Rattus norvegicus: one gene and its partner. The protein of the gene in region 1 interacts with the protein of each later gene in a biochemical or structural test. Links are inferred from orthologs where the notes say so. Each region holds a gene or a part of one and is shown in the gene's direction. Other genes may lie near its edges.

Region 1 (3,046 bases):
ATACTGGCCTCAAGCAGCATTCATCAATCTTGAGGTTTGTGGTAACTTACGTTCCTTATAAGCCTGATGAGTTATGCCCAGCCCCCACAGGCTTGTGCTGGTCCCACATACCTCAGCCTTGCACCTGCTCTTCAGTCTCCCCTGGGTTCTGAGGGAGTAGGGCTGGAGTGTCAGGTTCCCTCAGGATGGGTAGAAACAGCTTTCTTTCTATCCCCATAGGTATCTGTGTTCTTTGGAGGCCTCTCCATTAAGAAAGATGAAGATGTGTTAAAGAAGAACTGTCCCCATGTTGTGGTGGGGACACCAGGCCGGATCCTGGCCCTCGTGCGGAGCAGGAGCCTCAACCTGAGGAATGTGAAGCACTTTGTGCTAGATGAATGTGACAAGATGCTGGAACAGCTGGGTGAGCATCCTACTGGCCTGACCAGCTGCTTTCCCACTCACAGAGTCACAGCCATTTTCTAGGGGGCCTGATGGGGCAGGCAGTGGCTCTCATAGTGGGTCACATGGGTGGCCAGAACTCAAGGCTCCTAGGAGAACCCTAAGGGAACAGAGTATGTGCTGCTTCTGAACCCAAGTTGGTTGGGACCATAGGCCCCATGAGCTGCCATCCCTTTAGGACATGTAGGCACATCCAGGGAATCTAGAGGAGTAGAGTGGCCTCTGCCACCCACTAGGGGCTGGGAGAGATGGGCATGTGTCCTGGGAAGAAGCTGCAGCTCTCACGCCAGTGGCTGTCTCTGCCTCAGGCTCCCTTTCCTGAAGCGTGGCTCAAGGCGCACTGGCAGGGCCGCTCCATGCTGGCAGCGAGTAAGTGGACCGCAGCTCCTCCCATGCCTGCGCTCCCGCCCATCCGAGCCCAGCCCCTCAGGCAGTGGGGACACCCTTGGGCCCACTCCACCGCGGCTATGGTGCCAATGTTGTCTGGCCCAGGTTGGGAAGGGCTGGTTCCTCTCTGGTGTGGGTCTGCTCAGTCAAACAAGACATTCAGGCTTGCTATTTGTTGGCGTCCCCTCCAGACATGCGCCGGGATGTACAGGAGATCTTTCGTCTGACACCCCATGAGAAGCAATGTATGATGTTCAGCGCCACCCTGAGCAAGGAGATCCGGCCAGTCTGCAGGAAGTTCATGCAGGATGTGAGTAGGGTGACGCCCCAGCTGGCTGCCTGCCTGCCCACCGTGGCCAACACCTCAGCGCAGCAGCTTTGGCCTTCCCTGAGGGCTGGGCCACTCTGCGACAAGCACACTGCTCTCATGGCCTGGAGGATGCTAGGAGGCTTCGCTGGCCTCCTTCCTTCCCCTGGTTTGTCAAACTGGGAGCTGAGTGGTCCACACCTGAGCCAGAGGCAGAGCTTACATCCGGCTTTTGGGAGAGAATTGTTTACTGAGGTTGGGTGCAACAGGCCCTCTGGGAATCATCAATACAGAGGAGCTGCTCCCCGGACGGTGCCGGGCACATGAGACGTCCAGAAGTGAGCCCTACTCGCCCCTTCCTGCTTCCCTTCCCACACAGCCTATGGAGGTGTTTGTGGACGACGAGACCAAGCTCACACTGCATGGGCTGCAGCAGTATTACGTCAAACTCAAGGACAGTGAGAAGAATCGTAAACTCTTCGACCTCCTTGACGTGCTAGAGTTTAACCAGGTGATGCTTCTTGACTACACCCACGATTCGGGCCTGTGGGGGTGATTATCCATTGGCCTAAACAACATTACCATTCTTCTTCAGGTGGTGATCTTTGTCAAGTCTGTGCAGCGCTGCATGGCCCTGGCCCAGCTCCTAGTGGAACAGAATTTTCCGGCTATCGCTATTCACAGAGGCATGGCCCAGGAGGAGCGGTGAGTGCTTGATGTCCACTCGGGGTCACGGGTACTCACACCTAGGACTCAGGTTTAATACCTCTGCTTGTCTCCCACTCTAGCCTGTCCCGATACCAGCAGTTCAAGGACTTCCAGCGTCGCATCCTAGTGGCTACTAATCTGTTTGGCAGAGGCATGGACATTGAGAGAGTCAACATCGTCTTCAACTATGACATGCCAGAGGACTCGGATACCTACCTGCACCGAGTGAGTGCTTCCTCCCAGCATGTGTGGGCTCAGGGTCTCCCTCACTCCTCCTCAGATCCTAAGGAGTACCTGTCTTCTGACACCATCTCTGCAGGTGGCTCGTGCTGGTCGCTTTGGTACCAAGGGTCTGGCAGTCACTTTTGTGTCAGATGAGAATGATGCCAAAATCCTTAATGACGTTCAGGACCGGTTTGAAGTGAATGTGGCTGAGCTTCCAGAAGAAATAGATATCTCCACATACAGTGAGTGCCTGGGGCCACTCTGGGAAGAGTTGCTGGGTTTCAGGAGCAAACCTCTAGCTGTCCTAACTGCGACTTTCTTGTCTTTACAGTTGAGCAGAGCCGGTAACCATGTGTGTAGCCAGGCACATGGCTTTCTCTCCTGCTGCTTCAGATCCTCCTCCTAGGTGGCAATCGGCGGCCTCTCTTTTTATTGTTCCAAAGCTTTAGCTATGTTAAGAATAAACTTTTATTGTGAATACCTGGCTCCAGCCCCATCTTTCTTTTCGCCAATATCTCATGGAGTGAGACAACATCTCAAGTCGGCCAACCTCTCCACCAGCAAGCATGCCATCTTTTTTATCAGGAGATTTAATTTTGTGTATCAACATTGAAAGGTTTACATGTTAAAAAAATTTACAAAACCTAGTCTTTTAACTGGGAGACCCTCTGCCCTGGATGTGGGGCAGCCAGGCCTCTGTACCGTGAGCCTCAGTAGCAGGCAGGTCCTCAGTGGCCAACATGGCCTTGTCAGTCTTAGCTTAAAGAAACTGAACCCAGCACCCTGGCCAAGAGCCCAGGTTTCAAGGGATCTTCGCTTTTGTCGCAGGACTGCCTGCCCCATGTACCAGGCAGTGGGCTGCAGGTCTGGGCTGTCTGGCTTTGTTTCTCTGGTAGGCAATAGCTGTCACGGTGAGGCAGAGAGGCAACCAGAAGCAGGAGCTGTGGCCCCTTGCCCTCTTGCAGGGCTCACTGCTGG
Region 2 (3,821 bases), on another chromosome or scaffold:
CCCTATAAGAGATGACATAATGGTGGCATCAATTTTGAGGGGAGATTACATGGTAGGAACAAAAGCTAGAGGTTAGTGAGAGCTTAGGACAGAGTCTCATGGAATGAGTCTAGATTGTCTTTGTTGTTGTTGAATTCCTGGTCTTCTTACCTCCACTTCCCAAGTGCTGGGACTGCAGGCTCAAACCTGGCCACTATTACTCTTTTATATAGACTGATGTTTGGAGAATTAACCTAAATTAATTCCTTTCTAGAATTAGGCCTCCTTTGATGACCTAAATACTACTCAATAAGCTCCACTTTTGGGGGCGGGAGTAAGAGTGGGTTTTTCTGCTGGCCTTGAAGTTTTGACTCTTCTGCTTCCCCTCCCAGCTGGGAGGATTACTATCATGTGCCACTGTGTAAGGCTGCTCTACATTTTTAATAGTCCCAGAGCCAATACACTGAGGACCAAGCTTCGACACAAAAACTGGGCTTGGAGAATCTGGCTTTAGAACACTGGGTTTCTGACTAAAGATTGATTTTTATTTTTCCCCCTTTCTTAAGTTGTTGACAGTGTAATGTTTTAGAACTTGCCCCTTAGTTATTTAAAAAAAAAGTTGCACAAATAGATTACAGCTTTACTTAAGTGTGATGTTTTACAGCGTGTGTTAGAAAGCCCTGTGGTCTTGGTCAGGGATAGGCCTTGGATTTGGGAATTGACCATTGTCCTTGCTACCGCCATCTTCTCTTTTGTGAGAAAGAATGACCTCTTTATTCATAGGAATTAAAAAAGTTGTTTGTTTGTTTGTTTGTTTTCTCAGCTTGCTGAACTAAAGCAAGAATGCCTTGCTCGTGGTTTAGAGACCAAGGGAATAAAACAAGATCTTATCAATAGGCTCCAGGCATATCTTGAAGAACATGGTGAGTACTTTGTGGAGGGAACATGATGTGAGTGAAGCATTACATTAGGTTTCAAGCTCTTACACTTAAAAAGATTTCTTCCTCTCTCAGGTAATTGATGACATAAGGTTTAAATTAACAACATCAAGAAAACTTTTAGAGATGGCCACGGTGGCTCATGCCTCTAATCCTTGCACTTGGGAGGGAGAGGCTGAAGGATGGCTTCAAGTTCAAGGCCAGTCTGATTTACAAAGTAACAGTTTGTTTCAGACAAAAACCACCACCAACAAAGAGTAGGTTTGGGCCGAGCCAGATGCTGTAATACAAGCCTGTATTCAGTACCCAGTGGACCGAGGCCTGAGGATCAGGTGTTTGAAGCCTGCCTAGGCTAGAGATCTAGGTTAGCTAGAGCTGCAGAGTGGGATCCTGCCTCCAAAACACACAACTCTGTATGTGTCTCTGGGTGTAGTACATGTAGGTGTATTAAAAATTTTTTTAAAAGATGTACTTATTTATTTTATATATATAAGGTACCATGTGGTTGCTGGAAATTGAACTCAGGACCTCTGGAAGAGCCGCTAGTGCTCTTAACCACTGAGCCATCTCTCCAGCCCCGTATTGAAATATTTTCATTTGTTATATACTAAAGAGGTAGGATCTTGTCCCATTGCCTCCCTGGCTGTGAATCGTAGTATGTTATTTAAATATCAGGATGGAGGAGACTGGAGGATGACTCTGGTTTAGAGCATGTGCTGTTCTTGCAGAGGACCTGGGTTTAATTCCCAGTACATAGGGTGTCTCACAACTGTATGTAATTCCAGGGATCTGACGTTCTCATCTGGTACATAGGATGTATGTACGTACATAAAATGCAGGCAAAACTCAGTCCATATAAAATAAAATAATGAAATATTAAAAAATTTGCCAGTCCTGTAATCCCAGTTCTTTTGGAGGCTGAGGCCAAAGAATCAAAATTTGAGACCCAGTTGAGCAACTTGGTAAGACCATACCTTTAAAGAAAAAATTATAACACTGTTACTAGTTAAGAGTTTGAAGCCTTTAATTTTAATCTGTATTGTATAAACTTTCATTTAATATGTTTGGCGAGTCACTGTTAACATAGTTAAGTGTTATCAGAGACTAGTGTCTGGACCCTTGAAATCCTTAAACTGGGTGATCTTTGGTTACCCTTACACCTCATCTCCCCCAATCCTACCTTGAAAAAGAAATAGTGCCCCCTTAATACATATTATCATCCCAGCTAATATGTATCTTTCCAATTTTTATCATTCTCTTTTTCCCTATTCCTCATTTCCTTCCTTTAAATACTCTTCAGACCCCATTCTTAGGTATTTGCTGTATCCATAAAATATTTTTAGGGGCTAGAGAAGTGGCTCATTAGATCAGGGCATTTGTTGGACCTGGATTTAAATCCCAGCATCCATGCTAAAAGCTGGATGTGCTCTCACAAACCTGTGTGCGCTGTGGGTGGAGAAGCTGGGAGGGCTCCTTAGGCTGCTGCCTAAGGCTAGCTCCAGGTTCAGTGAGAGCTTGTTTCAAGGGTGTGAGATACCCATCTCAGAGGGGTAAGGTAGAGAGTGATGGGGCACGTTATGATCTTATGTTATCAAGCCTGGGAGCAAGAGTGTGAGCCATCTTACAAGCTACCACAGTTTATGGCCTTAACATTCCTTAACAGATTCCTCTATTGTATGAAGTATTACATATTATATATTAAAGTGTTGTTAGGATATATAATTCTCTTATAAACTACTTTTCTTTTTTATGTGCCTGAGAGATTATATAATATATGCCCAGATTAGTGTTGTAGTCATTGTATATTCACTAATGTGTAAATATTTAATATGATTTAGCTCACTGTCAAGTTGCTTCCTAGAATTGTCCTATAAATCTGAATTCTTCATTAGGACATCAGGGTTCTTTTAAAACATACAACTATTTATTTTTAAAAGATTTTATTTGGGGCTAGAGAGTTAGTTCAGTGATTAAGAGCAAGTAGCTGCTTTTGTAGAGCACCCTAGTTCCCCATTCTTACATGGCCGCTTAAAACCATTTATAACTACAGTCCTGGGGGATATGACGCCCTCTTCTTGTCCCTGAAGAGCACTGCATTCATGTGCACAGATACATGCAGGCAAAACACCTAGATACATTTTTAAAAAAAGAATAATTACAAAATTATTATATTTTTATTTTATTTGTGGGTGTATGCCTTGTGTGTTAAGAGGCCAGAAGAGAGTGTTAGATGTCCTGGAACCAGAGTTAGGGTGTGTGGGTGTGAATAATGGTGTGGGTGCTGGAACCAAGCCCATATCCTCGATAGTACCCAGCCACTAAGCTGCCTCTCCAGCCCACACAGGGCTCTCTTTGTCTCTACAATCCTAGACTTGGCATTCTCCTATCAAGTGCCTACTGTTGCTGATTTGTTGTTGGTTTTAATATACTATAATTCCATCCTGAAGAAAATTTAGATGCTGTCTGTGTTCTGAGTTCAGTGGGTTTCTTCTTTGTCCACAAGTGCTAGAAATGCAGGCATTGGTAATGCCTGGCTACCTTGTTGTTTTTAAACACAGATATCTTTGTCATTGGTCTTTAAAGTATACATATACATATGTTATACACACACACACATACACACACACATACGTATATATGGGGTGTGTTTGTGTGTGTGTGTGTGAGTTGTATGAGTGTTCTGTCTTCAGACACACCAGAAGAGGGAATCAGATTCCATTACAGGTGGGTGTGAGCCACCATGTAGTTTCTGGGAATTGAACCCACGACCCACTGGAAGTGTAGTCAATGCTCTTAACCACTGAGCCATCTCTCCAGCCTTGTCATTGTTCTTTTATGTTTTTTTCTCTTGGTGTTCTTTAGTAGGAGTGCTTAGTTTTGAAAATAATTTTTTCACCTATTTTG

Evidence for each region.
Region 2: the proteins of Ddx39a (region 1) and Sarnp form a complex in vitro, tested with the Homo sapiens proteins (2 studies listed by BioGRID). The link is inferred for Rattus norvegicus from reciprocal best matches to the Homo sapiens genes DDX39A and SARNP.

Annotation. Positions count from the first base shown.
Region 1 is NC_086037.1:41,322,965-41,326,010, reverse strand, and holds the end of Ddx39a (ATP-dependent RNA helicase DDX39A), read left to right. Parts: exon of another isoform or gene 1-219; coding exon 220-403; exon of another isoform or gene 404-749; coding exon of another isoform or gene 750-810; exon of another isoform or gene 811-1,019; coding exon 1,020-1,138; exon of another isoform or gene 1,139-1,514; coding exon 1,515-1,646; exon of another isoform or gene 1,647-1,730; coding exon 1,731-1,840; exon of another isoform or gene 1,841-1,923; coding exon 1,924-2,068; exon of another isoform or gene 2,069-2,162; coding exon 2,163-2,310; exon of another isoform or gene 2,311-2,399; coding exon 2,400-2,416; 3' UTR 2,417-2,546; downstream 2,547-3,046. UniProt on the Homo sapiens protein: Helicase that plays an essential role in mRNA export and is involved in multiple steps in RNA metabolism including alternative splicing. Regulates nuclear mRNA export to the cytoplasm through association with ECD.
Region 2 is NC_086025.1:1,845,436-1,849,256, forward strand, and holds part of Sarnp (SAP domain-containing ribonucleoprotein), read left to right. Parts: intron 1-802; coding exon 803-902; intron 903-3,821. UniProt on the Homo sapiens protein: Binds both single-stranded and double-stranded DNA with higher affinity for the single-stranded form. Specifically binds to scaffold/matrix attachment region DNA. Also binds single-stranded RNA. Enhances RNA unwinding activity of DDX39A.